Mytilus edulis: one gene and its partners. The protein of the gene in region 1 interacts with the protein of each later gene in a biochemical or structural test. Links are inferred from orthologs where the notes say so. Each region holds a gene or a part of one and is shown in the gene's direction. Other genes may lie near its edges.

Evidence for each region.
Region 2: the proteins of peroxisomal biogenesis factor 19-like (region 1) and ATP-binding cassette sub-family D member 3-like form a complex in vitro, tested with the Homo sapiens proteins (4 studies listed by BioGRID and IntAct, with this or other methods). The link is inferred for Mytilus edulis from reciprocal best matches to the Homo sapiens genes PEX19 and ABCD3.
Region 3: the proteins of peroxisomal biogenesis factor 19-like (region 1) and peroxisomal membrane protein PEX13-like form a complex in vitro, tested with the Homo sapiens proteins (2 studies listed by BioGRID and IntAct, with this or other methods). The link is inferred for Mytilus edulis from reciprocal best matches to the Homo sapiens genes PEX19 and PEX13.

Annotation. Positions count from the first base shown.
Region 1 is NC_092348.1:72,184,459-72,195,646, reverse strand, and holds the start of peroxisomal biogenesis factor 19-like, read left to right. Parts: upstream 1-6,884; 5' UTR 6,885-7,115; coding exon 7,116-7,245; intron 7,246-8,876; coding exon 8,877-8,956; intron 8,957-9,994; coding exon 9,995-10,163; intron 10,164-10,497; coding exon 10,498-10,583; intron 10,584-11,188. Other genes in the region: leucine-rich repeat-containing protein 58-like, read right to left, coding at 1,547-1,734, 2,178-2,581, 6,262-6,737. UniProt on the Homo sapiens protein: Necessary for early peroxisomal biogenesis. Acts both as a cytosolic chaperone and as an import receptor for peroxisomal membrane proteins (PMPs).
Region 2 is NC_092344.1:125,849,594-125,861,438, forward strand, and holds the start of ATP-binding cassette sub-family D member 3-like, read left to right. Parts: upstream 1-6,878; 5' UTR 6,879-6,913; coding exon 6,914-7,020; intron 7,021-11,845. Other genes in the region: QRFP-like peptide receptor, read left to right, coding at 1-50. UniProt on the Homo sapiens protein: Broad substrate specificity ATP-dependent transporter of the ATP-binding cassette (ABC) family that catalyzes the transport of long-chain fatty acids (LCFA)-CoA, dicarboxylic acids-CoA, long-branched-chain fatty acids-CoA and bile acids from the cytosol to the peroxisome lumen for beta-oxydation.
Region 3 is NC_092344.1:115,002,455-115,014,031, reverse strand, and holds the start of peroxisomal membrane protein PEX13-like, read left to right. Parts: upstream 1-7,178; 5' UTR 7,179-7,250; coding exon 7,251-7,333; intron 7,334-11,577. Other genes in the region: mucin-22-like, read right to left, coding at 764-872. UniProt on the Homo sapiens protein: Component of the PEX13-PEX14 docking complex, a translocon channel that specifically mediates the import of peroxisomal cargo proteins bound to PEX5 receptor.

The DNA of each region.
Region 1 (11,188 bases):
CAAAAAATTAAAAAACCCTTGCCCTTGTTATATAAAAGTTAATTTTATCATTGAATAAACAAATATTTCATATAGCAGAGTACAAATGGAGAATCAAAGTACAATTGACTTAAATCAAAATGATAAAATAAATAAATGACAATGGCAATGTTGAAAGACTGGATATGTTGTTGCGAATAAATCTATCAATTACCGCAAAACAAATATGAATATAAAATTTAGTGAATATTTAGATGTTTTCATCATTGAGATGGGAGTAGGAGTAGGTTTTGCAATAATGGAAACTAATATTTTAAAATTTGGTAGCATTCCTTGTATGAGCATTTCCTGGAATCACAATATTTTATCAATGCATTTGATCAACAACTGCAAGAATAATTGCACACACATTTTTGACTTACAGTACATAGAAATGAAAACAAAATTATAACTGATAAATTGGTAAAGAAAAACTCAAAGATTTTTTCACCAATTACCATTGTATTAAATATTTGAGACCTTCGTATACCAAGACTAGCTATAAACAAAATGAATAGCAAATATGATATGACTTATACCAAAATTTTATTTAACTACCAATTTAAAAAAAGATAAATAAATAATTGTTGGTACAATAAGGTAAATATCAATGCAACACAAAAATAAATAAACATCTAGAGGACTAGAGGTCAACATAAGGTTTCCAACAATGGCCAAGTGTCTACAGACCATGTTTACTTCTAACTGCTTTGATCACATACAGTAAAAAAAAAGCTAATACCTGAATTTTCAACTTGTATAGACTAGGGCGATATAGAGTTAATAAAAAATTCTGTAGACACATGTCTATTGCTGGATGTCTTTTGGTTTCTTGTGATGATGGGTTGCTGTCTCATTGACATATATTCTACTTTAAAATCTTCCATATTACAACTACTATTATTTCTATCCATACATTGAAACATGATAAAAAAACAATCATACAAAATAAATCTAGTAGAGAGTATACATGAATATCATTTTTCCAAAAGAAAGCAGATGACTTCTTTGAAATTCCTCTTGATAACTCAGAATTGCTCTATATCGAAACAAAAACAGAGGCATCTTGTACACATCATGGTGAGTGTTTTATGTAAAATGAAGAACTTGAAAGTCTGAGAACCAGTTCTAACAGACAAATAGGCTAAAAAATTATAATAGTTTCTTTTATCTAATCTCTTGTGATCTAATAACTTGTCTTTTACTGCTGAGAGATGTCTCTCATAAATAAAGAATAATTCTGAGGACTATTTCAATCATTAATTTTCAACTAATAATAAAATGTAGCACTTCACATATTTTAAATAAATGTTTTAATAAATATATCAATGTGGATACATTGTGTATAAATGGTTTAGAGGATAGAGTGCCTAAAGTTTTAGGTGCACTTCAAAACAAAATACACTCTTTACAAATAGCCTCAATGGTTCGTTGTTAATACGCTAAATCTTCTTTTGGCATTGAGAATCACAACAAGAAATCTCCAAAGAATCTCATCAGCCCAGTCATACTCTCTTGATCATGGCCATCAACCCAACAATACTTTCTTGAGCTTGGCTCTAGCTGTATCCTCGTCATCTGTGTCCGTGTCACTGTTCGTTACATATGGCGAGGTTCGACACTGTGGTGAGCACAAATACTGAAGTAACGGCAGTCTGTACTTTCCACAGAAGTCAACAAATTTCACATTTTCCACTCGTGAAGCAAAATATACACCTAAAGTAAAAAGATAACAATATATAATATTAAAACTTACAAGTAAATGATAATATATGTAGTTCAAGTATCAAATAATTTATATGAAAAAATTAAGTAAACACATTTCCTTGTATTAACATGTATATATATATACATGTATATATATGTTTCACATGATCTATTAAGGTTTAACTGTGGTTAGTTGCTCCCTAGAAATAATTTTAAGACTCAAAATGATTTAAATGTTGTCATACATGTATTATGGTATGGCGTCTTGTTTCTCGTCGTTGAATAATGTACATGTGTGTTGACCAATAGATGTTCATTTTGATTGTTGTGTTGCTGTTTCCTTGATATTCATCCAATATTTCTCAAATTAATTAAACGCATCACGATAATTTCTGACTTTACAGTATTATAAACAAATCCTTAAATAAAATTTTGTTGTATAAATTCTTTACCTTTGCATTCAGGATTAACACATCTCCGACAGGAATCAAGATAATTGAGTAGGTTTTTTGGCAGATCTTCCTGGTCATATTTTACTTTTTCAATCTTAACAACTCTAGCAGAAAGTTCTAGCAGAGAAGGCACTTCATAGGTTAAATCTTGAACGAATTTAACAACTAATGGATTGTTTCTTAGACTTAATTCTATTAAATTAAGTGCTACGATTTCTGAAGGAAGGGTAGATAATTTGTTGTTGTGAAGACTCAAGGACTTCAAACGATGAAGGTTGACTAAGGTAGGTGGAAGACTTTGGAGTTGGTTATCACACAGGACTAGTGATGTCAGGTTATATAGTTGTCCTATCTCGGCTGGAATGTCTGTAAGTCTGTTTCCACCCATATAAAGGATTTCTAATCTGAAAAATAAATAAATTTGAATACCAGACAATACACTGGTTGTTCAAACATTTTTCTTTCAGTTATGCAAGGCATAATTGAAAACTTTCATGTCAGAATTATACAAAATACAATGCATATTTAAACAAGAATGTGTCCCAAGTACACGGATGCCCCATCCGCACTATCATTTTCTATGTTCTGTGGACTGAAAATGGGGTAAAATCTCTAACTTGGCATTAAAATTAGAAAGATAATATTATAGGGAACATGTTTACTAAGTTTCAAGTTGATTAGACTTCATCAAAAACTACCTCAACCAAAATCTTTAACCTGTAGTGGGACAGACAGAGGCACAGACCAGAAAACATAATGCCCATAAATGGGGCATAAATATAAATTGATGTAGACGTGCTTTAATAGTTTAAGTGCATACATATATTTTGTTGTGAGGGTTGCTTTTAAAATTACAATTCACAGCACTTCTTTCCTAGTTGATAATTACACAGAATGAGACTTCTTATATTTTTTTTAACCATGTTACATTGTAACTTGCAATCCACCAATTACCATTTTTGTATGGTACTTTGTATAAAACTGTCATAGACTATCATGACTATTGTAAAGTGGTCCATTTTTAAAATTCAAAATTTGTAAGGCCAAATTCCTTGTTCTCATTAAGATTTACAGTTGTATTTTCCTGTGCCTAAATCTGATGTTCTTAAAAGATTTCAAATTTACATACTTGTAAGAGTTAGACATGTAAGAAGATTTTTCCTGATAATTTTTAAACCATGAAAATTATGCAAAAATAATTCCCTTAAAAAAAATACCTAATAATAGTATACTATTACTGTAGCTACATGTAAATGAACATGTACAACTTAATAATCTATACATACATGACATACATGCATGACATAAGCAACAAGATACATGTAAGTGTAACTAATCATGCATGACAATCATGACAATGGAAAAATGTGTTAGGGTGATCAACTGCATGTATTTATCAATCTTTATAATTTGTGTAGTCTTACAAAATTTATCTGTTCCACTTTTTCTTTTGATCATGGGAGTCATGTCATAATTATATATATATAATGTGTCTGTTGTCTTTGGGTTATTGGTTTTTTATTATTGAACTTTGAGTATCTGCTTACATGTAAGTCCCCTTTAACATGTTTAACTTAATAAGTAAGTTGTAATTTAGGATTTGTTTATTGAACATTAAATTTTTGAATTTGATTGTTTTCTTGACATGCCTGAGCCCCTGTTGTGGTCATTGAGAAAAAAAACTTAAAAATTTGTTTAGAAAGAATGAAAAATGTTATATAAGTTAAAAAAACTGGAAAAAATGGAAAGTTTTCTCTTCCACCAACATGACCAAGTTTAATTTGTTATGAGATTACACTTGTATGTTGCTTTAAGTACAGTTAGGTGGTAATTACAAAAGATATACATGTACATGTAATACAAGGTTATCTCATGATGTATAGATATAATACTCAATTGCACGTGTATCTTTACATGTACTCCTAATACAAGGTTATCTCATTTATCTCTGATAATATATATATACTCAATTGCATGTGTATCCTAGCTTACATACAGTGTATACACTCATTCACACAATATATTTTCAGCATAGAATTAAATTTCTACTTAACATGCTAAATACGATAAAGGGTGTATATCAATATCATTTTCTGAACCAGTCAGTCCAAAGATGCATTAAAATAGTATCAGCTGTGCCTGTTTATCAGCTTTTTATAGCAAAGTCAGATGAAAGTTTCAATATACATGTTCTGTAATTTTTATTCGATTTAACCCTAAATCAAGGCATTGCTATTTCATTTTTTGTATTTTCTTCTCACTGTTTAATGACTGCCCCGGCCCATTGTCAAAAATTAAGATTCCCTTAATACATTTCTAAAATGATAACTAATTGTTTTGTCATGTTATTTCATATATTTACCATGTTTACCATGTTAGGAACTCAAACAAGCCCCCAAATGCATGAAATGAGGCCATTATGAGGGACGAATCTGGTAAATGATAATCAATGTAAATAGTCTAATTTGGTCATGTTGGTATGTCACATTCGTTAATCAGATGCTCCGCAGGGCACAGCTTTATACGACCGCAGAGGTTGAACCCTGAACAGTTGGGGCAAGTATGGACACAACATTCAAGCTGGATACAGCTCTGAATTTGGATTGTGATTAAATAGTTGACACAGCATAGGTTTCTGACACAGAATAAATGTGGGTGGTCTAATGAACTTAAATTTTTTAATTTTTTTTGCTTTTGAGCAATTCACTATGCTCCTCTTAAAAAAAAAATATTTGAAGAAATTTTCTTTTTAATTTCTGAAATCTGAAATGAAAAATTGACCCCCCCCCCCCCAATTTTTTTTCACCTCCCCCTTTCCCTTACTCCAAAAATGATCTCAATTCAAATTTGCTAATGGAGTTTGCAACAATACATGTAACTACTCATTTAAATGCATCATAAAGTATTAAAATATAAAATGTCATACAGTCATGGTTAAAATTAATATTAATTAATAATAACTTATATAAAAATAAATGGGGAATGTGTCCAAAGGGACACAGATGATGCCCCAGCTAGCATATAATGTTATAAAGGGACATAACTCAAGAACTGTAAAAGTGAAGCTGCCAAAAATTGAACTTATTTAAAACTGAGTTTAGAGGTACATGTAATAAGCATTATATACACATTTCATTAAATTTAGTTGAGACAAACTTATGTTAAGAGAACAGAAACGAAAAAAATCTTCAATTTTTCCATTTGTAAAGGGGCATAACCCTAGAATGGTAATCAAAGTGCTTGTAATCACTGAATGGTAAAGATTACTTTAATATATCAGTTGGTAGTAAAAGTGAATATTGCATTGTATATTGTATAATATAGCATTGATTTAATTTGATTCAACTATTATTCTGGACAAAGAAAGATAAATCCAATTTTCAAAGAAGATTTCATAAAGCATTGGTTTTAGGTAATTCAACAATCATTCTGGACAAAGAAAGATAACTCCAATTTATTGTCTTGAAACTACAAAAATGCTTGTTTTTGGCACTTTATTCCTAGACTGTTTGCCCTGTAACCCTTTAAATATATCCCAACCTTCTACTTACAGTATTAAACATTGTGGTATAATTTCAGAACAATTGAAATACTTCTACTTGTACACAACTTATTGTCCTGACACTAGATAAATGCTTGTTTTGGGCCCCTAATTCCTAAACCTTTGGGACCATAACCCCCAAAATCAATTCCAAACTTCCTTTAGTGGTTATAAACATTACTCATTTATGTTAAAATTTTATTGATTTCTATTTACGTATACTAAAGTTATTATCCGGAAACCATCCGTCTTCGGACGACGCCGAGGACGTGATACCAATATACGACCGCAAAAATTTTTGCGGTCGTATAAAAAGGATCGGATAGTCATATTACAATGAGGGGTCAATTATTCCTCATTTGAGGGGTTGTTCCCAATCTGTTTACCATGTTTACCCCAGGTCTGCTTCATTCATGATCCACATCGACACTTTCAATTACAGAATATTGTACTTTAAACATCAATCTTTAAAACTCAACGTGTTAAAAAAAGCACACAAAGTACTATAATGACTATAAAGTATACTCGTTAATTTGTTTTTACCTAGACATATGCCTAATCAACGATGTAATTGATGAGATGGCATTGCCACCTAAGTATAATGCTTTCAATCGAGGTAGTTCAGTAAACTGTGGAGGTAACTCTGTAAATGAATTGGCAGAAAAGTTCAGCACCTCTAGAGATCGTAGTTTACTAAAATCCTTTGGTATAGTTTTACATTCTAAGTTGTTGTTCTTGGCTATCAAAGTTCTTAATTGTTTTAAATAAACCACAGCATCATCTAGTTTGTGACAGTTGTTGTTACTTATATCCAAAGTGATCAGGTTAGCAAACACATTTATAGACTTAGGTAACACTTCTATATTGTTATGGTGTAGGCATAATGCTCTGATCGACTTCGAACGATCGAATAAATATTCTGGTATGGCTGTTAGGTCACCATATGACAAATCCTCAGCTCCATCACTTAAATATTCATTCTCAGAACAAGAAGTTGTTTCAGACAAATATTCAGCCATTTAATCAATTATGATCTTTAGTCATGAAATATATTCCATATTCTGTATCTCTCTTTACTGTAAGTGGCAACGCACATGACACGAAAGTGACGAGTGATGTTTGTTCTAAATTGTGTCACCTGGTACAGGCTATTATTCAATGGTTCAACATTTAGGAAAATAACAGAGGTGAAGGTCGTTATAAGCTTTGTCCATTTCAAGACCGATTCCTCCTTTGAGTTTATAGATTATTGTTTAAAAAAATAAAGACTTATTTGAAATTAGGTTATTACTCGAATTTTGAAAGAAACACATTTAGGGGAAAATAAATGAAATATTTTTTTACGATAACGTAAGGGATATTTATTTTTTACAAGTACATCAGGGGGAAAAGGCGTGATGGAGGGTGATGAGAGTAAACATTCGAAAGAAGCTATTGAAGAGACCAGTTTAACCAATACAAAGAAAGAAATCAAACAGAATATACAAACCGATAAGCAGGATGAAGAATTAGATTCATTGTTAGACAGTATGAGTCATCGATTAACAGAAATTATACCAATACACAAGATATTTTTATTGAGCTAATCAAGACTGGTGCAAGAGGGTGGATATATTTGTGTACCCCACATGATTATTAACGATAACATTTTATTTAATATAGAGTTAACACTACATAGTAAATTCCATTTATAGCTAACATCACTCTAAATATTTAAAACAATAATCAGGAATGATGATAATAGTTTAAGGCTCGGAGATCATTCTGTATACCTTATCGCTATTTGTCGCCATTACTGGATATCACACATGTTCCCATGGAATTTTGACATCATAAAACAAAATATCTGACGCCACAATGGAAAAGTGATTGTTGTATTCGTCAAAAGTTCAAGCGGCCGGGATAAGCGATAAGGTGTATTAACCTTGCTAATTGTATCATGTGCATGAGGGTGGTAATAGGGGTCCTTTCATGACGATTAATGGTAAAAATTCTTGTCAGTAATGTTTGGCGCAAGATGATAAAATTTAAAACACTTTCCTTTAGACAGTAAAAAAATAACGGCTGATTTTGTCAAATCACGCTAATTTTTGTCCTAAAATGATGGTAAAGATAATTATTCGAAACCTTTTTCAAATCACGATAAGAAGATTTTAACAAATCACTGAAATTTTAACCAATTTGACTCGAACGGTAGCTTAAAATAACAGTTTAACGTCTGACGGTAAAGGGCATTCCTACCCTTGTATATATTATAGTATATTGAAAAGAAGGTGTTTAATGATCTCTATTGCTTGGTTATGAAGACCACGCCTAACCTCCATTAAGGGACCAGTAATTTTAATGAACAGAATAATTATTATTACCTTAATCAAAAGATTAAACTTGTTTAACACAACAAAAAATGGTTATCACAGTTATTAAATTTACTAATCAACAGTAATTGATTTGATGTCATTCCATTCCTATACCAAACTCAAGTTGTTTTTTATAGATGAGTTAAACAGGTAGACCCAAGGTAAAAGGTTGTTAACAAAGTCATTGAACATTTATTATGGGTTCTTACTGTGATGTATGAAATTGACAAAAAAGTGCACGATTCCGAAAATGGTTTTTGCCAATATGTGTTCTGTCCTTGGTTGTTCCAGGTACAAATCAATAGTTCTGTTCCAATATCATTTGTTCTGTGAAACAGGTTTATCCATTCAAATAACTTATTTGTACAAAATAATTATGACAACATTACATTTAAAATATAGATAATTACATTGTATGACATTATTATAATTGAAATTGTTTTGTAAAAGATAACATTATATACAGTTATAGTATAGTTATTATTTTTTCTTTTGAAGAATTCTTTTATTCATAAATAGGATTTTGCATTGTTTTCATACATGTCAAAGAATTTTCAACCTTTTCATTTGAAGTTGAATTCAATTATTACAACAACAAATATACAGTAATGCTAATTTTCTTCAACATATATTAATACAATGTACATGTATAAGAATACATGTATGTTATAGCCTACATTTTGAATTTTTGTTATCTACAAGTTTGCATTCTGTTGAAATATATTTTTTGTATAATAATTAATTTTATTTATAAATAGTGTATCCTATTCATTTTTAAATCAATCTTTAATTTTTTTTTAGGTGCTTTGAAAGATTTTGATGAAGTAAAGCCGAAAACAGCAACAAAAGAGGATCAGAGTAGTGCCAAGAATAATGATTCGGTAAGCTAAAAAACAGCTTTTTGTTATGTTATATCATTTGTATATATGTACCGGTAAAGTAAATGTACATGATATGCATGTTTTCTTTAGACTTGCTGACATCTCTTTCATGTCTATGCTGCAAATTTATGTCTTATCATAATCGACATTGTATGCCCACCATCGTATGCATCATTGAATGCACACCATCAATATTTGTGCATTGTATGCCCACCATCAATATCTGTACATTGTATGCCCACCATCAATATCTACACTGTATACCCACCATCAATATCTGTACATTGTATGCCCACCATCAATATCTACACTGTATACCCACCATCAATATCTGTACATTGTATGCCCACCATCAATATCTGTACATTGTATGCCCACCATCAATATCTACACTGTATACCCACAATCAATATCTGTGCATTGAATGCCAGCCATCAATATCTGTACATTGTATGCCCACCATCAATATCTGTACATTGTATGCCCACCATCAATATCTACATTTTATGCCCACCATCAATATCTGTACATTGTATGCCAACCATCAATATCTGTACATTGTATGCCCACCATCAATATCTGTACATTGTATGCCCACCATCAATATCTATACATTGTATGCCCACCATCAATATCTGTACATTGTATGCCAACCATCATTCAATATCTGTACATTGTATGCCCACCATCAATATCTGTACATTGAATGCCAGCCATCAATATCTATACATTGTATGCCCACCATCAATATCTATTCATTGTATGCCCATCAATATCTATTCATTGTATGCCCACCATTAATATCTGTACATTGTATGTCCAACAACAATACCTTTACATAATATGTCAAAGTCAATGAATTTGAAAGTGTACAGACATACAATACTTGCCTGTATTTCATGAATAATATACATGTAGGTCAAATGATCATGATGATAAATACACACACTATTTTGTTTTTTAGAAATCAAAAGTAAAAAGTTATGGGCTCAATAAATTGATATCTTTATACCATTTTGAAATAATCATGTGTTTCAGGCATCACAGAAATCAGAAGCATCAGGGGATCCTTTGTCGGACATGTTTGCTGATGAGTTCTCAGACGATATGGCAAAACAATTTGAAGAGGCCATGAAAAGTATGGTTGGTGAAGATCCTGAATTAGTTTCACAAATAGAAAAACTAGCAGCTGCTGCTGGCAGTGCAGGTATTGATTTATTATGTAAATTATAGTGACAAGTCTATTATTTAGACAACAAGGAGGGTGGGAAGGTGATAATGAAAAGACTGTATATGTTTTATACATATTTTAATGATTTGAGTTTTCCAATATCATATTAAGATGCTAACAAATTAAAAAAAAAAAAAAATAATCGAATTCAAGTTTAGTTTTGAATGTTTTCATTTTATCCCCCTGTTGACCCCTATAATAGTTATTATAACATTGGACCATATTTAATGTTTGTTGATTTTACTAAATTATATTTTAAGAAAAGGTATAAATGCATTATTTACAATGTTAAAATTATTAATTTTGTTAGGTGATTCACAAGAAGCACAGCAAGAATTTGCTAAAAATTTGGCACAAACTATGTCTAGTCTTGACGAGAATTCAGAAGAATTACAGGTATGTCGAAAATACTCTGATTAATTATAGACTATCTATAGTTCTGAAAATGAGAGGGAATTACTCAGCTACAATCAAAGAAAGATAAATTCCTCCAGTTGAAATACCAAAGATAGTCTGTTTATTGTCTATTTATTGCTATTTTCTTAGGCAATGACCTTGGCTTATGAAGTTATCATGGTCTCACTCTAATTGACTTCTTAAGTAGCATGAGAATAAAAGTGATAACACCGAAAAATCATAGGTAAAATGAAGAAAATATGGGAAAATGGTTTGTCCTATTGCTTTCTGTAAAAATCAGTAGCTGGCCAAATATTCCTCTTCTTCACAATATTTAAGGTCTACCTTTTTTGTCAATTATTAATGTTATCAATAAAAGCAATCTATACTAAAATGCAATATCTGCCTTCTACTGTCATTGACTGTCTAAATCAGCCTATAACTTAAAAAAGACAAAAAAACACAGATGTCTTAACTCTGTTCTTTCTAGTTTGTGAGAATTTAATTTTGTTGAACTTTATTAAATCTTTAGCCCAAGCTACACTGTTCTATTTTTTTTTATGATAAATTAAGTTTAGGAAGAAGATACTTTTGTGTACAACATA
Region 2 (11,845 bases), on another chromosome or scaffold:
AACTGTCACTCAAATACATTGACAGCGAAGAAGAAATAGACAACGTATGATTTCCATTGAAAGTCAATATTAAATTATATTTTGTGGAAGTTGTTTTCTTACGCATTATTTTACAGCTAGATGTCACTCGGCTCATCTTATTAACACGTTAAATTCAAATGAATGAGATCTGGTAATTATAAAATCACAAAAATAATTTTCATGGTAAACCAAATGATAAACCAAATGATAAATAGAAAAGTCACGGAAACTGCAAATCAAACATAATTTATTTTCAATGACTATCGAACAGCCTAATGATTATCGTGTTTCTAACAAAATATAATTCTAGCACAGTACAGCCTGTTTGTTTTGTTCTCACATTGTTGTCAATATAATGGAATTTTATGTGATTGTCATGCAAGCGAGAGATAAATTTGGCAAGCTTTAAAACCAGGTTTAATCCGTCATTTTCTACATAAGGAAATGCCTGTTCCACATCAGAAATATGACAGATGTTTTTATTAGTTTGTTGTGTTTGTGCTTTTAATCTTGCCATTTGAAAACGGACTTTCAGATTTGAATTTTCCTTGGAGTTCGGTAATCTTAGTGTTTTACTTTTTGGTACGATCGTGGTCAAATATTTCTTTTCTTTATATCCTATATAATAAGAAATTGACAGAATTACGGTCACGCAGTGGTCACATTTTCCACTTTCATTAAAATAAAATAAAAATGGAAATGAGACGCATACATAATTTAATGTCAAACGAGTAGTAAACTACGTACTTTATACAGGTTGTTATTTTGTTCTTACGAAAATTGAGACTTGCTTGATGGTCTTTAAATTAAAAATAAAATTTGTTTTTAAAACACTTGTTATGAATGATATTTTACTAAATACGAAAAACATGCATAAATGAATTGTCCAGTGTGTGAAGACTTTCATTGTAATAGTTATATTTGTTTTATCAAGAATCTCTATGTAATGTTAATTTTATGCATATGTCTGATGACGGTAAATTCATATTTTTATACGTACTTTTATACTGCCATATTCTGCAATGAAAAGAAGATATATTTTATATTGCTAATTCAAGTGTACATAATGTATATACATTTTAGATAATAATTAATAATAAGATAGTCTCTTTTAAAACTCTTTTGAGAGTATCTGAAGAGGTGAGACTTGAATAATAATGTCTTGTCCTTTCTTGTCTTGTCTTTTATGTATATGTCACTGTAAAGAATGAACCTGCGTACAGGTAGATAATGCTACACCGTTGGTTAACGCCCTACCTAAAAAAAAAGTCATCCGGATTTCTCCACAAATTGTTCACAATATACGAACAAGCACATAAAGATAAAGATTTAAAGAGGAATTGGAAAGTCAATAATTTTGAAGGGTATTTGCTCGGGCAGATTGGATTTTGGAAGTTTTCAAGAGACGTTTCACAAGAAAGTGACAAATGAAGAAAACAAAAAAAGTTCGTGGACTAATTTTAGATTAAATCTGCACAATTCGTACAGTGTTGAAAGTTTGACGAGCATTAAAAACAAAGAAAAAAGTGAGGCTCGCCAAGCTGTTCTTAGGTTTCGTAGCAATATATACGAATCAGTGGCAGATCCAGGGGTAGGGGATGTTCCGGCGGTTGAAATCCACCTTTCTGAAAATTAGTTGCATGTTGAATTGGAACATATCATGGTTAAGCATGTTCGCTCTGGGTTCCTTCGCACTACTTTTGTAAAAAAAAAACCAACAACATTTGAACAGATTTCTGAGGATAATAAATATATTTTTGTAAAACAGAAGAAAATAATTTTCATTTCTTTGTTGCATGTTCATTTTTAAATTGAAATCCTTAGATATATGTTTATGATATATTTGAATTAAAGAACAACGAAGGGAATACTTTTGATAAAAAAAACCAATAACAACGTACGTTCACACATGTTGGCGTATGAATACACAACGTCAGAGTGGGTGTGTCACCATAAACATTGACAACATTGCAAATAAAAGTAATACTTTTAACCAATCAGAAGACAGTTTATACACCAAACTTATTTATATTGATATACATGATATTTGCACAGCTATGTTTCAGCGCTAACGTATCACTCAAAATGAAGTAAAAGAAGTTATTTTTGTACCAGATTTTTCAACTGAAATTTATAATATAGTGTACCAAGTCTTCTTTGCTATCTTATAGAACTTTGGAATATGATGATATGTGGATGTTTTATGTCCGGCTATCCTGTCTGGAAATCGATTCAATGTTGACGGGCGATGTGTGTGGTGGTGTGCGCAGTAGGTCTGGGTCGTTGATGTCAAACCCTTTATCAAAGTCGATCCAACTGCGCTTGCCTCTTTCATTTTTTGAGGTGTATGTTGTATCAATCATATATGTTATGTGTATATGCCCCCCTGGGGACCTAATTTGGAAAATAAAATTTATCTTATCTTATCTTATCTGTAGAATACCAGGCGATGGCAGGTCTTTTTGGGGTTGTAAGGACTGGTGACAATATCCTTATTGACTACAACCCCAACTGGTTCCCCTTTGTACTTTGTTGGTGTAAGTACTTGACCAAGTACGGTGTCTCTTGCCTCGGTTTGCGTGATGTGGTATACGCTGGTGGTTTGTTGATTTTGAGTAGCAGGTACAACGGCTGTTTTGTTAGCCATCCACTGGGCGTAACGGTTAGCGTGGTGTCTCCTGGTAGATGGTGGCTTGTTCCTGCTTTACAGGGCCGGCTCATGTTTCCTAGATGTAGTATCTGGTTCTTTGACCTAGCTTGATGCAAGTGAGCTGGACCGATACTTGGTCAGAATTGGCGGTGAATTTCCCGGTGATTCCGTCTCTTTTCCATCCAACTTCATTGTTACCAATAAGGCTCTCAGTTCATTAGGTAGTTCCATAATGTCTGTCAATGATGTTTACGATTCTAACTTTGGAATATTACATTTATACTTTACTATATACCAAATTGACATAAGTCAGGGATAGTAACTCATCTTTAAAAAAAAGGTGAAGCTGTAAAGATCGTAGACATTACTCTGTAATTATAATTACTCCAACATTATCTAAACTCATTGAAGCAGTTTTAAAGATCAGAATTAAATCTGACATTATAAAATATCAAAATCCATGACAACTTGGTTTACTAGAAGAACAGCACAATTAAACTTCTTTCATTATACAGAAGAATTTCATAAATAATATTGATCAATATGTATTCTGATGCTGAAGCAAAGTCGGCATGTGATGCAGCAAAACATACAGAGCTAATAAGAAGATAATATCAACTGAAAATTTTAAAACAATCTGTTTTGATAATTAATAATTTATATAATAATGCTGTTTCTTGTGTACAATGAAATATTCAAATATCAGACACTTTTAGAATAGAGCAAGGCGTAAGACGAGGTTAACACTTAGTGTAATCTTGCGTCAATTTCATATACATACACTTTTAGACATTAACTGATATATGGAGGGAAAATTAGATAATTTTCATGTTTTGCTCCAACTTGGACAGAAGATATAGCCATACTAAGCAACATGCGTATGACACACAGTTCTTGATTAATATGACCTTTAATTGACTTCAGAGGTCGAGAGGGATATTTACTACAACCAGCCAAAAAATGGGTCATACAGTCTAAATCTCGTCACCATGAGGAATTTAACATTTGTTTTAAACATTTAAAAGTTGGGAACCAGTTATTAACATATTGTAAGTTTTACAAAAAAATCGAATTGGAAAAATATTGAAGTTGTGGTAATGAAAATGGAAGAAGACTGTTAACTTAATTTGAAGTAAGCTCACACAACCTCAACATTGAGAAGTGAAGATATCGTAAATGTCATTTATGTAAATTGTCTGTTAAAGATGAAATCCAATTCTAAATTCAATGCACATGCTTAACCATATTTTGATCATTCAAATAATAATAATAGTAATTTTAGTAAACTTTTTGATGAAAACCAATTAATTTGGCTTATAAACAACGAAGACACAGAAATCATTTATATAATTCCTTAACTTTAAAAAAAAAATTCTTAAGAAAGAGATTCACTATTATTGACTAAAGAGCTTTTCCCCTTTATTATTATTTATATTTAGCTGCGAAAATGTAGATCTTAAGGTCCTTTTGATGATTTTTTATATTTGAGAACCATAAACAAACAAAAAATCAAAGGACAATAGAGCTGCGTTTTCGCAGCTATATTTCTATTATGCATGCATTTTTTTTATGTTTTAAGCAGAATCCATATTGCTGGTTTTAATTAACAGGAACTCGTCTCAGAAAATAAATCTCTCTGACAAGTGTCTGTGTTTTAATCACCAGTATAAAGATTTTGTTTGTGTTGAGGTATGAATTAACCAGACTGAGTCAGCTGTCCAGTCAATATTTTGTTACCAGTTCTTTTCTTTAAGGGACATAAGCATTCAAATTCACCAATTTGACTAAAGATTTCATATTTGATTTATAACATACTAAAATATAAATCCAAATTATGTATATAAACTTGAAAAATTAAATAATTAACTATGCATGTAGTCGGTAATATGTTTCAGCATTTCGCAGTTTATATTTTAGTCTGGACACCATCTAGTTAACCATCGAGGTGACCTCCGAAGACTGTCAACAGTCTTATAACCCGGTATAAAAATAAATTTAGATGTAAATATATATTGAACACCTTTTCAATGAATTTTTTTTCTATGTCTGTTTGATTTCATATTGAAGATTGGTGGCCCAGTGGTCTAGCGCGTCGGATACAGTGCAGACGATTTGGTGTCACGATATCACAGTAGCATAAGTTCGAATTCTGGCGAGAGAAGAACAAGAAATTTGCGAAAGCAAATTTACAGATCTAACATTGTTGGGCTGATGTTTAGACGAGTTATATATATATATACAGAATATACCCAGCCATGTTAACTTGTATCACCATCACTGCCGGCGATCCGATTGATAAATCTGTTGTAGAGTTGTCACTGGTTCAGACGTACTTAATTTATAATTATAATTATTTTTGTGGCTGTATCTTGCATTAATTTGTAGGATCCTTTACAATAGATATTTCAGCTGATCTGTAACAATTCCATCTTCATGCCTAAAATATCATGTACTGTATTACGACGCTAGATAAAAACTGACGAGGAAAGGTCACACCCGGCCACCGAAAGCTTTATTATTGTGAGGCCAATGTGGTCAAGTGGTCTAGCGCGTCGGGTACAGTGCAGGCGATTTGGTGTCACGATATCTTAGTAGCATGAGTTCGAATCCCGGCGAGGGAAGAACAAAAAATTTGCGATAGCAAACTTACAGATCTAACATTGTTGAACTGATGTTTAGACGAGTTGTATATACGCAATGTACACAGCCATGTATCACCATCACTGCTGGTGATCCGATGGATAAATCTGTTGTAGAGTTGTCACTTGTTCAGACGTACTTATAATTATTTCTGTGACTGTATCTTGCATTAATATGTAGGATCCTTTACAATAGATATTTCATCTGATCTGTAACCCTTCCATCTTCATGCCTTATATATCATGTACTGTATTACGACGCTAGATAAAAACTGACGAGGAAAGGTAACACCCGGCCATCGAAAGTTTTAATATTATGAAGCCAAGGGGGTCGAGTAGTCTAGCGCTGCAGGCGATTTGGTGTCACGATATCTCAGCAGCATGAGTTCGAATCCCGACGAGGGAAGAAAAAATCGACTCTGACTGGCTGACTGACTAAACTTCGGAAATACATACCGAAATATGATACAACATATATACCCATCTGTACTGAAAATGCAAAATATGCTGTCATAGTGTCACTGTCAGTTATTGTATAATCTAGCTATATTTATCAAGAAGCTATCTACCTTCATTTAGAAAGATGCATGTATCTTACAAGTTTTATGATCTTTAGAAAGTACACTTTTATTATTAGTTACCTATCTATTCTGTCATTTATTGTATTTGACTTGTAATTTGTCCTTATGTAACACATATATTGTGTGAGTGTAATTAAAGAATTGAATTTGTTTACTTACTTTTTTTATAGGTCCGAGTAGTATTTTTTTCGATCAGCCTAGTCTTTATTAAACATTTGTCTAAATTGCCTACTCGTACTCGGTTTCATCAATTAGCGACAAGAAGAATTTTGGCGACAAGAAGCGAAAAGAATAATATCAGTTAGCAACAAAAATCATCACACATTTTTGAAACCTAACTGTATTTATCTATGATAATCAAATATTACGTTCTTTAAATCCGGTTGTATTATGATATTAATTTTTACTTGAGTTTTAGAACCAGAACAATTATATACATGTATTCATCTTATGATTCTTTCAACACTTTCTTTGTTTGATATATAATAGGCTGACTGCATTCAAAATGCATTATTTGTGCATCATTGCCCAGAAAATACAGACATAATTTGTGAAATACAATGAAATCAAACAAGAAGAAAACGTAATCAAACTGAATATTCAGTTGCATATCATTTCATTTTGTGTATTGCCTCCTCAAACGATTATGCCTATGCATAGTTTAATATCGTTTGAAGACAATCAAAACACGAAGACAAATGTTTAATTTCTTGTATCAATATAAAAAAAATCTTGCTATAGACCTATCACTTTACTATTGCCCCTATATATATATATATATATAAAAACAACATTTAATACATATTTTTTTAATTTATTCATTTTGAATAAAGTAATTTTAATAAGATTTTATTTTAATTTCTTGTCGCTATAAATAGTCTTCTTGACGCTTCTTGTTGCTAAGTTATTCTTCTTGTCCTTGGGTGTCTCAAAGCTGGTCCGAAAGGTATTGGTCCCAGTTAGCTTTGGTCCGAGTTGACATCTATCTTTAACTTTATTACCGGAAGTTTATCTTGTGAAATATGGCAGCGCTCAGCAAGCTCACGCCGCAGAGGTCGGCGATCTTAACCGTAGCTGCAGTAGCTTCTTACTTTTTGTATAAAAAAATTGGTTTGAAACGAAAGAACAGGTATAAAATATATGTCCTTCAAACGTTTTCAAAAATCTAAGTCTGTTATGTTTAATAATCACGGAAAAAAGCAGTGTCAAAGTCCAATGTTTTGAAAGGTCAGAAAGTAGAACGTTTATATTTCAGTCAAAATATCCATAGAATCCACAGCCATCACCACGAATGCCTAGAGACTCTACATAAAGAAACAAATGAGATGCTTCATGATTAATTACACCTTTTCTGTATTTCAAAATCTGTGCCAGTTGTCTTGACCTGATAATACACCTTATCGTTTTCCCAGCTGACACAAATTATAATGTGTCCGCTTGAACTATTGATGTAATACAACAATCACTGTTCATTGTGACGTCAAATATTTCGTATAAGAATGTCCAAATTTTACGGTAACCTGTGTGATATCCAGTAATGGTGGACAAATAGCAAAGATGTATGAAAACAACTCCCTCTAGTTCATTGAAAATGGACATTACACATTATAACATGCTTAACCCCAAAACATATAAATGAACTAAAATTAAAAACACGCTAGACTAGCAAAGGCCTGAGGCTCTTGACTTGGGAGAGGCAAAAAAATGTGTTGGGTTAGATATGTTTTGTGAAATCTCAAACCTCCCCTATACATGTACCTCTAGCCAATTTAGAATAAACAAACACTCTACAATACACACATTAAAACTCAGATTACAAAAAAAAGTCTTGAGTCCTGCGTCAGAATAGGATACAAAAGAAACTAAAAAAAATGATAATGATACATAAATCAACAAAGGACTACATCAAATGAAAATCAAGCACGAGCCCTCCTGTAAGCTATAGGGTTTTATTATCGTACCATCATAAAAGATACAAGAAGAACATTTGTGTTTATTTCCTTGTTAATCAATATTAATACCAAAATATGCCAACTTTAATGACCCAACTACAGGTATATCCCTTCTATTGTAACTACATGTATATCCCTTCTAAAATAAATCTGTTTAAAGGTTTGGTTAGCTTTGGAGGTAAAAGTCAATATTTATAATCAACCTAAAAAAATTGTGTGGTCGTATATCATTTTTGTATATATTGGAATCAGGTCGATTTACTTAAGTATTATAAGTAAATAGAAATTTATGAAAATTATACACAAGGTTTATGATTACAAAAGGAAGGTTAGGATTGATTTTTTGGGAGGTTATACAATGTATAGTCCCACCAGTTTAGGTATTAGGAGCCAAAGAGGGGCCCAAATAAGCATTTTTCTAGTTTCCAGATAACAACTTGTGGAATGTTGTATGGATCATTGTCGATCTCTCTGAAATTATACCACAAAGAGATGGTAAGAATTGGCTTTGGCTGTTGAGGAATTACGGGCAAAAAGGGGGAAAAGCCAGGATTTGAAAAGGGCAGGGTGCTAGTCAGAAAAGGGGAAATTTTATGCATAAATGTCATTGAAAAAGGGCAAATAATTAAGCCTCATATAACTCAGACACTTTGGTATAATCAAGTTTCAATTAAATTAGAGTAAAAATATTCAATACTTTAGACAAAATCCTCTCTGTATGATATGATCATTATATGTACACTTTCATTTACACCTGATTTAAGTTGACTGTTTCTTACCCTGAAATTGGCTGAATCAGTGTTCACTGCAGGTTTCAAAAGTAAAATCTCTTTATAATATTTGTATTCAAATTATTACTTCAATGCACTTGATAAATCATTTAATGGAAGTAAAGATTTAAAAAATTGTTTTTAAAATGATTTATTACATAAATGTTTAAAGGTTTAAAACATATTTAAAAATAATGTTCTGATATGCATTAGCACTTAGCATGCTTAATTGGTTATAAATTAAAAAATAATTTCGAAAAAGAATATAAACTTCATGAATTTGAGAAGAATATTGTGAAAGGTGATAAAAAAGGGGAAGTAACAATTTTTTTGTCAAACGTTTTTGAACTATACAAATTATGTATGACCTAAAACTAAGGTAAATGTACTTGGTTTAATTAAGTCTCCCAAACAAAGTTTGGAGACTTATTGTTTTTGCTCAGTTCTTATTATTTTTATTCTTCTTCTTCTTCCTCCTCTTCTTCCTCTTCCGCCACTTTAAAAAATGAACTTGTCCGCAGCGTTTCTCCCAAATCACTTGTCAGATTGACTTAGGATTTCATAGAATGGTAGACTAATATGTCTAGGTGAGCCTTCAATCTTTCGTTTGTTCATTGGGATCTATTAAGGGGTATTTTGGGGGGTAGAAAGGAGGGAGGGGTTTACTATAGAACCCTATTGGATTTTATTTTCCAAAATTTTCAAATGAATATAACTTGAAAACTGTAAGTGATAGATACATGCAGTCTTCAGAAATGATTAAAGGACAATAAAACCAATCACATGAAATATAGAGGGAGTCCCTTGGGGGTCATCCCCACCCCGTTCAATTTGAGAATATGCTTTTGCCCTCATGAGACCTGTTGGTGACCCTTTGCTGTTGTTTTTTATTTGGTCGGGTTGTTGTCTCTTTGACACATTCCCCATTTCCATTCTCAATTTTATTTTATCTTGTAAACGGTCCATATCCCCACCCCTAAACCATATACATGTATATTCTTGAATGGTACAATAAAACAAATCAAAAGAAATCAAAAGAAATTAAAGGGAAGTCCCCAGGGGTCATCCCCACCCTGTTCAATTTGAGAATGTGCTATAATCTTGTATACGGTCCAGATCCCCACCCTAAACCATATATATTCTTGTAGGGGACAATAAAACAAATGAAATGAAATAAAAGGGAAGTCCCTAGGGGCTCACCCCACCCCCTCTTGTTTGAAAACTTGTAAACGGTATGGGACAATAAAACAAATCAAATGTAATGTAGGTAAAGTCCCTGAGGGTCACCACCACCCCCTCCTGTTTGAATACTTGTAAATGGTGGAGATCTCCACCCGTAAGCCATATATATTCTTGTATGGGATAAAAAATCAAATCAAATGAACATGGGACCATATGAATGGTGTTTTTTGGGAGCTTTGTTTGGGAGACTTCATAACAGCATCCTGTTACAATTACTTCTTGTTAACAATGTATTTGACACCAAAGCTGTTAAGTGAAGCCATGCACTTAATGGGTCACTTAATTGGACACAGCTAGCTGAACTTCCTGTTCATGAAAGAATTACGAATTTGCCAGTATTTAAAAGGCAAAAATGCCGAGATTTTTGCCATAAAAACAGCATGTTGTAGGGGAAACGACAGAAAAAAGGCAAGGGCATCAATAAAGAACAGCAGGCGCTGTGCCCTGTTCAAACTTTGTAGCTAGAACACTGATTACAAATGATTTGCCCTCATGGGACTTACAATACCTTCTACATTCAAACGTAAAGTCCCCATCTTTGCTAGCCAAGGGTTATGATTAGTCCCCTTCTCTATACCCTTGGCAGATAAAGCCAACATTTTTATGCCCCAACTGCGAAAGTAGAGGGGCATTATGCTTTCTGGTCTGTGCCTCTTTTCGTCCATCCCTTCGTTTGTCCATTCGTCCCTCTTCAGGTTAAAGTTTTTGGTCAAGGTAGTTTTTGATGAAGTTGAAGTCCAATCAACTTGAAACTTAGTACACATGTTCTCTATGATATGATCTTTCTAATTTTAATGCCAAATTAAAGTATTGATCCCAATTTCACGGTCCACTGAACATGTAAAATGATAGTGCGAGTGGGGCATCGGTGTACTATGGACACATTCTTGTTGATTATATGCTGCGCCATATATCAGAAGATAAAAGTCATGCACATTCCAACATCATCATTCTTTACCAATGGCAGCAAGAACATTAAAATGGTCACCAAATACCATTATTCTTTACATGTGGCAATTACTTATTTATATTTTCTCATTTTTACATGGTCATCTTAAGGATGCCTTTTGATTTGCATGATACAGCTGGTTACAACTGACTGAACTGCGACCAATAGACAACAATGATAGAAATCAATACATCATTTGAATTGTTTTACATTGTCTTATCAGGGCCTTTTATAGCTGACTATGCGGTATGGGCTTTGCTCATTGTTGAAGGCCTTACAGTGACCTATAGTTGTTAATGTCTGTGTCATTTTGGTCTCTTGTGGACAGTTGTCTCATTCGAAATCATACCACATCTTCTTTTTTATATTGTGTCTCTGAAATTCTATCTTAATCCACCATGAACATGATGAATGGGGAGAAGGGGACTGGATTTTAACCCTTGGCTTGTGAAGATAAACAGACCCAGGCATTTGCAATTTAGACAAAATGCATTATAAACTAAATCATGTTATATTTTAAAAATTTTCGAACTGCAATTAAGACTGATTGAGTCAAGACTCACTGCTTTATACATGTACATAATTTTTTTTGTATAAAGTAGTTAAGTTAATCTTAATTGTAGTTGGAATGTAAATAAATTTTGTTGAGTATTCAATCATACCAGAACACACCCACGAAATCGGGCATATACAGCTTGTGAACTGTTGTAGGATTATTTTTTGTAAAAGATATTAGGTATGAGGAATTTCATAAAAGGTATCAAAAGCCTTCTCCCTTTTTCCAAAGTCCGATATTTGTTTCCTTTCTGTTAAATTCAATTATTTTCATGTTTCTGGCCTCAGACCACAATTATTCTTCTCCTTTGCTACAATGCATCTTTTTGTAAAAGTCAAATTAAATCAAAAATTTGCACCGCTTCAAACATGAAATAAATGTAACTGCTTTAGCCTTATATATATATATAAACCATTATTAGTCTAATAAAATATGCTTCTAGAACAATCCATCAGTGCTTTTTTCTTTTAAGAGACTTATTAATA
Region 3 (11,577 bases), on another chromosome or scaffold:
CTTAAAATCACGGATTTCGATAAACAAATCCTTGCTAAAACTATACCTTCTCATCTATATTTCTGCAAAATTGTGTTCTGAATGACGAATTGGTTTTAACTAAGTAAATGATAAAAATGAGATTTTCAAAAGGGTTCAAAAGAAACCGTTATGTGGCATTATTTCCATCATGCCGCATGCCCCGCTGCTCTGCATCTTCAATATCATACTTGCTCACACCATATCCGACTGTGTATATCATGTTTTTATCTAGTGATGATGGGGTTTTTTAAGTTCCAATCATATATTTATATAAAACTGTCACGACATGCAATAAACATCAATAAACAATATGTTTGCCAAAGTTGATGCTGTCACAAAATCTTAGTTCAAAAGTAGTATGTCAGAAATATGTGGGGAATATTTAGCCGCTTTTATTTGCGGTTTTTCTTACGATATCAAATTACTTGCATCCTAGGCAACATGCCCCGTGAGTCAAAGGATCGAAATAATGGCACTAACATTATAACATCCTAGATTGGATCTGGTAGAAAAGCAATCATCGGAAATTGTCATACCCGTATACTAGTATTACTGGACAGACTCAGTGGTTCAGTCAACTTGTTACTTTTTATTGGTAAAAGCACTATACTTTTTTCAAATATTGCGTTTTTGAAACCTGCACGTTAACATATACGCGTGCTTGAACCATCCGTACTTGTGTTTAGATTTACGAAACCGTTCCTTAAGGAAAAGCGAATGTGCAAAGACAGAACATACGTACCTCCATTTGTTGACACAAATAATACAGCAATATACAAATAAAACAAAATCACAACCGTTGAAAATTTGGGCACACAAATTGAAAACTTCATTTTACTGTTTGTCGGCATGTGTACTATAATCCTTGATACACAAAAACATCTATCTTTGAAATTTGTCACAAATGTCCACTTGGATTCCTAATACGAAAAGCGGCATGTTTTTTTTTAATATCGACGTTCCTCCTTTTTTTCTACATCTTTTAAGGAAATATAACGTAGAGTTAAACTGTTGTCCGGTTTGACCGGATGTCCTGGTGATTGATAAAATATGACAAACCACTTAACTGCTATGTAGTAGTTTAGTCCACGACAATAATAAAGTAAGGCTAAAATACAAGGATAAAGTCAACAAGACACGATTCAACCGGGAACTACCCCAATTCCCATTGTATTCTTTTGACAAAAGTCGTAGACGTCTTTTCTGTTAAAGGGGTAATTAAGGTTGAGGGATTTTAACATAATCACATGCGTGTAGCATATGTGTGTGTGTGTGTGGGGGGGGGGGGGGGGGGGGGGGGGGGGGGTCATATGTACTAAACATGGAAAACTAACTGTGTTAGTACGTTTACAAGACCATTCAGCTACCCTTTTCGTACATAAATGCTATATTGGCCCTCACTCTTAAGCTATAAGTTTCAAACGCTTTGTTTAAATTTTCAGTCCTAATACTATTCATCGTTAACCAATGTCTCGTAAGGTGAAGATCTTACGCTCTCTGTACACTAAAGAAGCATTGAAACACCTCTCTGGGAGGTCGGTGGCTTTTAAAAAAAAATAATTTCTCATATGTCCATTTCTCATAATATGTCAATAACTCTCTCATTTTTTCAAATGCAGACCGAATAATTTTCCAAAAAGCCTACAGTACCTAGTATATTAATTATGTAAAAGTACAACATGAGAACGAACTAAACAAAATCAGTTAAAAAGGCGGCCTTTTAAAGCTGACTATGCGGTATGGGCTTTGCTCAATGTTGAAGGCCGTACGGTGACCTGTTGTTGTTATTCTGATCTCTTGTGGAGAGTTGTCTCATTGGCAATCATACCACACTCCTTTTTTATATTTATACTCATCAGATGGATACAAATACAAATACTACAACAACAAAAAGACAGTAAGTACAGATCTGAGAGCATTCTCAGTTACTGACAGCTAGTTCAAAGCCACTAACAACAAATTAAAAGAAAATCATGCATCTTAAACTATGTCTGTTTTAAATGCCTATGACAAAGACTCAACATATCTGTCTGATGTTTTTGAATGTTGTTTTGAAAGTTTGAAATCTTCCTTTATTTTGTGGATTTCTATTTTTACCATATGTATATTTTTCTTGGCATGGTTTCAAAGCAAGATGAAGTTGTGAAACTCAATTAACTCATCCAGCTTTGTCATGAGCTTGCACCAGCTCTAGACAGAGAAGGTATGGTTATCCTTGATTTTTCTAAGGTCTTTGATCGTGTCCCACAGCCACACATATGCCTGCTAAACAAACTACAGCATTGTATGGACAATTACACAATTACACAAGTGTATCCTATCTAAACGTACCCAACAAGTCATCGGTGATGGAGAATCATCGGAGAAAGTTCCTGTGGTTAATGGAGTCCCCCATGGAATTGTAGATGTAGATAGTAAAATGTGTTTTTACACCGTATTTTAATCTATGCATATTGACCATTTATTATATTATCGACAGTTTTTTTTTTATTATTTTGTACTTGTGCTGTCAAATCATACAATATTGTATTATAGAACAAGAACAAGTCGAAGGACATACTTTATTTTAAGGGACATACCGGTATAATGAAGTTACAAAATGAATTTCATCTTCAACACAGCCAGAGAAGTATTTGCAAATTCTTAAAATTTCATTTGGTGGAATATTTGAAAAATCGACCAAATTCAATTTCAAGTAATGAGCAGGTGTAAGCGCTTCTAAAATCGAAGTTCATAACCAAAGAGATTCTCAGACATAATTTTCACAGCCAAAACTTTGTTTAGATATTAAAAAATGATCACTTCCCAAAATAAACATTTTTTAGGCTAACATAACCGTAAATATATGTCATTACCCTTCTTCTTCCAGGTAAGGAACCGAATTCAATATTTGAATGTATGAGGTACCGCGAAAACTATACGCAATGTCGACAACACAGAAAGTTTTCTCTTGGCTATTTACAGGTTAAAACGTTCTCTCTATATATGTTACAGTGAATTTGTATAATCAGGGATTATGTAGAATCCCTGATTTTTCAGGGATTATATAGAATCACTAAAAACATTAGTGATTATATAGATTCCCTGAAAATGACCAGTGATTTTAGATAATCACTGATAATTTTAATTAGTATTCTACAAATTCCCTAATATGATTTCAGGGATTCTCAATAATCAAAAGCTTCAAAGATGATATCTCAAACCAATTACACTAGTGGTTCCAGCAAGGATTTATATAGTCTTACTATACAAATCCTTGGTTCCAGGAAAGGGAGATCCCAAAAAACTAATGGTCAATATTCACGAAAAGGCTGAAGAAGGATATCGCCTTGCTATATAGCATGGAATCCTGCTCGGATCCTTAATACAAGAAATCAGTTTGAGGTTGCTGATTACCCTTCATTGGTACAATATGTACCTTCAGATGTTTGTGCTGAAAACACTTTTTCTCTGAGAAGTGCCGTAAAATATCATTTGATTTGGGGGACAAGGTTTTTTTTTAATGTTGATATCGTAGTAAAAACAGATGTGAATTTGATAGATATGCCTGAAGAGAATCAGGGCAAATGTGTAATAGTCGATGCCATTCAAATTTAGTTTGTAAATAAAATGTTTAATATTAAAATATTATACATAACATTAACATTTATTAAAACAACTGTACGCATAAAAATAGTTTTAATGACAGTTTCATTTTAAATTATTTCATATTCTCAACCTAAAAACAATTGCTAAAACAATACGATAAAAAGAATAATCATTATGCAATTTAATATTTTCATACTGACTTCATCAACCTGCCCGTGTGGGCTCGCTTGATATTATTATTACTAATAAAGTCGTCAATTATTCCATATATATTTTGCTCATCATTCAATTATATATATATATATTGTGCTTATCATTTGATTATTTTGTGTATAACATTTCAATATTTTTGTGTCTTTCATATTAATAAATTATGCCTAACGTTTAACAATAGTAAGGTTATTATTATGATATATTAAGGTAAACTTTTAAGATATTTCAATATGTTATATATTTTAGTATCATTGTAATGCAGGAAAAGTGGGAAGAATCGCTGTTCTGTCAGGTTGTCTCCCCTTTCCCTCCACAACGTTAAGTATATTAAAATCGAGGGACTGCCATCTTTCACTTGGGGACTATCCTCGCTCGCTTATACGGGTATTCTAACTTCTTTCGGAGAATCTGGGGAATACTAGCTCGCTCATATTCAGGTCTATGTTATGCCTTCTTCTGGCGTGTCCCTCATCTCGGACACTTGTACTTTCGAGGCCTGGCGCTGGTGAATAAAATACAATGATGTTTCAGCAATTATTTATTCCAAACAGTTATCTACATTTAAGTGTGATATTGTGATCTGTGATTTAAATAGTAAACTTAGTTTTAACTTATATATATTAATGAAAATCTTTTATAAATTTAAGTTAAGTTTTAAATATCAAAGTTATTAAATCAGAAGATAAATTCTTACTTTAAAATTCATTTGAAAATGGTTTATACTTTAACAATTTACATACCTGGTGAATAAAATACAATGATGTTTCAATTATTTATTCCAAACAGTTATCTACATTTAAGTGTGATATTGTGATGTTGGGAGGTTGCGGTCTTCCCTTTTTAACCCCAACATCACGTGCTGATTGGAATTATACTGACCGACTTTAGAAACGCAACACTAGATTAATTTTGTGTTATTTTTTAATGAATGTGTCACCGTCAAAAGCGATGACTGCCTGTTACAAACGCCAAAATGATTGTCAGAAAGGTCAACAAATTCTGTCTGACATGTTTTGGGTACTGATTTACACCTTCTGATTTTGCATTTGTTCAACCCATTTATTGGTTTTGGCTGTTATGCGGTTGGAACTTGATGGCTTTAAAGGTTTTCTTCAGTCGATTCTTTGGCAATTCAGTTGATGGGAAACATTTATGGCATGAATCTGTACTCAATGTCACTCGGCAATTTGAATAGCATTTGACGTTGCGGCCGTAAACATGTCTGGCAAATGACGTTGCGAAATCAACTTCGGTTGATGTTTCATTGTCACTACTCGTTGGTCTGTTCATTGATGGCCAGCAACAAATCTTGTCTACTTGTATCGTTGTCGGAAGGACAGTAAGAGGAGTTTCTGAAGTCATACAGAATGGTTGCAGCACGTTTATGTTTTCATGTTTGCAGTTCAAGAACCACAGTTAAGTCAGATTTTCATTTTTTGTAATGAGAAAGAAGTATGATAAGCACGAAAAGAAGTAATAAGAGAATCAAACAAGATTTGGTAAAAAAATCAACAAAATGAGTGTTGCGTTTCTAAAGTCGTTCAGTATATTTTATTCACCTATGAAATTTTAGCGTCAATTTTGAATTTTCTAAAGGTACGTTTTATTGGTCAACTGTTCTCTTTTTATGTTATAGATTTATATGATTGACATATGTTGTATTTAGTTACGTAAAAGCAATTAAAGGATTATCAAAATTATCAAAATCTTTGCTTACTTTACAGAATTATTAATTGGACAATAGAAACACTTTAGGTTTATTTTCCTACGGCAAATTACAAACATTTTTATTCTTTTAAAAGATGACAGTTTATTTAACTTATTTCTCAACGTCAGATTAATAGCTATGATCAAAAGAACTCTAGAAATGAGATTAACTATATTATTTACAAAAAGACGAAACTATTTATAACTTAACCTTACGTCACCTACTTTGTCTTAGAGCTTAAGCAATGCAATAAAATTCCATTTTATTTATTTATTAGTTTATTTCTCTAAGTTTACTTTATTTTATTTTCCTTTTCCAACATACAATTTTCCATCATTATATCATTTCAGTTATTCTGTATAATCCCTGACGTTTTTTCTAGTGATTATACATAATCCCTGAAAGTTTTAGTGATTATATATAATCCCTAAACTAACCAGTGATTATTCATAATCCCTGAAAATTTTAAGGATTCTACATAACCCCTGATTATACAAATTCACTGTAACATATATACACAATTAAAATTATGTACAGGATATTACTGTGTTATTTAAGCAGAGCATGCCTTTAGGGCAGCTCTGATTCCTTCAACTGTGTCATCTGATGTCGCTGATGTTGGCAGTTGGTTCAAGTGTCTCTGATGGTCCTAGGCCTGAGAAAGGATTGGTCCAAGGAGTATGTTGTAGCCCTTTCTTGAAAGAAGCGGTTTTTACCTCTGGTCCGGCTATCGTTTGGCGTCAGATATTGGTGCCGATCTATGTCTATTAGATCATGTGGAATTTTAAACAGCATACATATTCTATTTTGTTTCCTGCGGTCTTCAAAGCTTAATTTTCCATTTTAAAGATGTTACCGTTTTTGTTACACAGCCAGGTGTGCGGTCTGTGTAGTTGTTGTTTACGAATCTGGCTGCTCTTTCTGTACTTGTTCGATTGTTTTTACTTTAGCCTGTTTTGTAGGGTCTCATACCGTGCAAGCATATTCAACTGAAGGTCTTACTATTGTTGAATATGTTACTGCTTTAATCGGTTTAGTGCAATCTTTTATGTTACGTCGTACCTAACCCATACCTAAAACTAATACACATCTAACTCTAAAATCTAACACTAACCTAGAACAAGGAATTGTATATTTACACAATTCCTTGCCAGAACCACAGGAAATTTGTTTTCCCTATATACCTCTATATAACAAGGTATATAGGCTACTCACAGAGTTACTTTCAAGAGGTGTGCCTGACACAAAGGTTTTATATATATACTAATATGCGAAAACTGTTGTTTCTTATTTGTGTTTGTAACTATGTGTTGTTTATTATATTTGTAAAAGAATATTATATTACAATGATATTATATTATGCTCCTTGTGAGCCCATTTTATTGAAATAAAGCATCTTCTTCTTTTTCTTCTATAGGGAAAACAATTTCTGAGACAAGTGCCTGTGCCTAGAACATTCCCTAACCAGCTATCCTAACCATAACCAAGATTGAAGAATGAACCCTAACTCTTAATTATAGGGACTCTTAAAGTAAAATAAATTAATTTGAACGTATTTGTCTGAATCGAAAAAAAAATTGGCATAATATATATATATTTTCTGGTATTTAGATCGTTTTATTTTCCGGATTTGTTTCACTTCATATCCGTCATTGACTTATTTTTACATTTCACAGTCCCAAAATTATCATCTCAACCACCCGTTTCAACCCATGGGGGAATGGCAGCACCTCCTAAACCCTGGGAAATTGCAGGTGTAAATCAACAAAATGCTGGAAGTATTCCTTTAAATAATATGTCAGGGTAAGTCCATGTCTAACTGTTATTTCAAACATTTGTTGTACAATCTTGCATCCTACATTTTGACCGAAAAACAACTCTTATCTATCAATCGAGTCACAAACATTTTCGTATATCATCTTCTTCTTCTATACATTTAACATGTTAAATATTCTGACATTGTGATGTTTATGATCCCATTATTGTTTTTCCTTTAAAACTTAAAAATTACAATTTAGAATTACTCAGCCTCCGCCCTTCTGTTGAGTGTTGTGCAAGACCAAGGATTTGTTTAGGCCAGAAATTAGGGTTGTAATGTAGATACCTTCATAATGAATAATGGTAAAAATTCTTGCCAAATGAAGTTAACGGTAATTTTTGGTTCATGATGATAAAATGTACACTTTCTTTTAGACGATAAAAAAATCTACTGATTTTAACGCATCACGTTTCCAAAAATGCTGGTAAAATAAACCTCTGACGAATCAGGTTAATATTTTAATCAATTCAACCCCTGACGGTAAAGGGAATAACTACCCTCTTGTATAGACTATATACAATCTGTGGGTTGTGGAAGATTCCATTCTCATTAATTTGTTACTTTGATGATATATTCCTAGGCCTTCAGCAACAAGGTAGGAACTTCAAGTTTATCTTGTGAATCCCCTGGTTCATTTGATAATTCACACACAGGGATAAACCTATTTGAGATAGTTGTACCTTTTAGGGGTTTGTAAACAACCAATTGTGCAATAAACTGAATAATTATTAAAAAAAAAAGGAACTTCAATTTTGTTCTTGGACATGAACATGTAGGTTAACCTATGTAGGCACAGCGACAGAAGAGGCAGGAATAATTAACGAGTTCTGGGTTTAATCTAGTCCAAATATATTTATGATGTCTTAATTTAGAGCCTAACAGCTTTAAGTCAAATATAATAGCCTTTCTAGACATTTATTGGTATTATACCTCAAAACATATAAAATGTAACCTGCCTTATCCAACACCTGAGTATTCCAACATCCTGCTTTAATCGACACATTTTCATGGTCCCATAATATGCCTATCATTGTAGAAAAAACCTGAGTATTCCGACACCCTGCTTAATCAGACATTATTTTCTGGTCCCTCAGTGTGTCGGATAACACAGGTTGTACTGTACATTATATCCCAATTTTAATGATGGAATTTATAAGAATGTTTGCACCATGATCATCATTATGATAAAATATTAAAAAAAAAATTTTTTATCACTGCATAAAGATCGATACCTGATTTTGGATATAATAACCATAACTAGTAATAGTGCCCATTTATGAGGACCATCCCCAACCTGTGAAACTTTTTAGTTTTGGCCTAACGATTGTCCTGTCAAATATGAAAAATGCTAAAATGTCTCCATTTTTGGAAGGGTTACTGCAGATTTGGTACCAAGGGTTATAATAACATTTTATTTATAATGAATACATGTATAAGAAAAGAAAATTAAACTAAATAAATGATTTTAAGAGTAAGTAAACTTGACCAGACTGACATTGAATTTACCCTTACTATTGTTTTGACCAACATGAAATTACAATCAACTTTTTTATACGACCGAAAATTTTTGCAGACGTATATTGGTATCACGTCATAGTCGTCAGCGTCGTTCGAAAACGAATGGTTTCCGGTTAATAACTAGTATACGCTAATAGAAATCAGTAAAATTTTAACACAATGTTTATAACCACAAAAGGTAGCTTGGGATTGATTTTGGGGGTTATGGTCCCTAAGGTTAAGGAATTAGGGACCCAAAGGGGCCTAAAACAAGCATTTATCTATTGTCAGTACAAACAGTTGTGTATAAGTATTTCAATTGTTCTGAAATTGTACCACAATGTGAAATTGTACCACAATGTTTAATACCATACATAGAAGGTTGGGATATATTTTGTGGGTTATGGGGAAAACAGTCGTAAGAAAAAACAAGCATTTTTTTAGTTTCAAGACTATAAATTGGAGTTGTCTTTCTTTGTCCAGAATGGTTGTTGAATCACCTAAAACTAAAATGTAATGCTTTATGAAATCTTCTTTGAAAATTGGAGTTATCTTTCTTTGTTCAGAATAGTAGTTGCTATATACAATATACAATGCATTATTCACTTTACTACCAACTGATAAATTAAAGCAGTGATTACAAGCACTTTGATTACCATTCTAGGGTTATGCCCCTTTACAAATGGAAAAATTGAAGAATTATTTAGTTTCTGTTCTCTTAACTTAAGTTTGTCTCAACTAAATTTAATAAAATGGGTATCTAATGCTTATTACCTCTAAACTCAGTTTAAGTTCAATTTTTGGCAGTTTCACTTTTACAGTTCTTGAGTTATTTCCCTTTATAACATTACAAACATGTATATGCTAGCAGGGGCATCATCTGTGTCCATTTGGACACATTCCCCATTTATTTTTTTAAGAAGTTACTATTGATTAATATTAAAGTCATATGAAACCTCAAATTAAAAAAAAATATGCATATGTTTTTTAAAACTAAATGGATAGTTTTCATTATACAACTTATGTACATATACTTTTTTCTGAGGAAAATTCTTTAATTTGTCCACATTTAGAAGAAGTTTACATATTTGTAATTGCTTGCTGCCAGGGCAGGAAGCAATTCGCCGACATATTTTCCGTATGCATAGTGACCTAAGCTTGACCCTCCTCGTAAAAATCCGGTGATAGCAATACGCATGAATCCGTCATTAAAATTAACAATTACCTGATTGTATATGTTAAACACGTGCTAAATACCCATGCTTTTTGTTGATTATTTACTATAAGGTGACAATCGGTAAACTTCGGCTTCAAAACACGGCATTTAATGAGTAGCCATATTTGTTAAATCATAACAGACAGATTATACGATATATTTGCGTAAAAAATGATAAATTCGTGCACAGAGAACTAAGTTTATGATTTATACATGCATTGGTTCAAGAATTGGATGAACATTATTTTTCACCAGTCACTCGTTTCTTATGACTTTAATTTTAACCATGACTGAATGACATTTTATATTTTGATATTTTATGATGTATTTAAATGAGTAGTTATTGTTGTTGCAAACTCCATTAGAAATTTGAATGGAAAGGGGGAGGTGACAAAAAATTTGGGGGGGGGGGGGTCAATTTGTCTCAGTTCAGATTTCAGAAATTAAAAAGAAAATTTCTTCAAATTTTTTGTTGTTGAGAGGATTAATATTCAACAGCATAGTGAATTGCTCAAAAGCACCAAAAAAAATTAAGTTCATTAGCCCACATTCATTCTGTGTCAGAAACCTATGCTGTGTCAACTATTTAATCACAATCCAAATTCAGAGCTGTATCCAGCTTCAATGTTGTGTCCATACTAGCCCCAACCGTTCAGAGTTCGACCTCTGAGGTCGCATAAAGCTGCGCCCTGCAGAGCATATGGTTAGAAATGAAAGGATTGACTTCCAAATTTTTGTACCAAGGAAGATTATAACATTTTAAGCTCACCTGGCCTAAAAGGACAAGTAAGCTTTTCCAATCACTTGGCATCCATCGTCCTCTGTTAACTTTTATAAAAAAAAATCTCCTCTGAAACTCAAAGACCAAATTTGATCAAACTTGCAAGTTTTGCCTATTACATGTATTTTGAAATCTGCTATTATAAAAGAAAATCTGACATTGCAAAACTACTCAAAATTTGAAGCTCTATATATACATTGTAGCTACCTATTGTTATTTTACATCAAAAATGTCAGACTGTTCTTATAGGAGTAATTGCCCTTAAATGATGAATTTTACCATTTTCAAAATACAACATCACATGCATTTGTTTTAATTAAAACATGTATTAATTTAACAGATATTTCTTTTACTCAAGTAAATTTGATAAAGAATGATGGATTTCTCTTAGAATTTCAAAGGTCCCAGTGAATAAACTACACAGAACAATAGTTATTGTATTTATTGAATGGTACAATATAACTAACCAAAGTTTAAATAGATTGAACAATAGGAGATGAAAATAGGAGAAGTGATCTGTGTTTTATTAAGATTGTTATATATTTTTGTACTTGCAACTGCTTTTTGTTAAGCAGAAAGATGGCACAGTATTTTTTTTACATGATATCATTGGATTACTGTTAATCATTTCTTACAATACTAGGTACAAGAAAATATTAATTCAAAAGTTCTATTTTTTACACTCCAATCTCACCAAATTTATACTTTCATTTTGTATGTTAATATATATATTT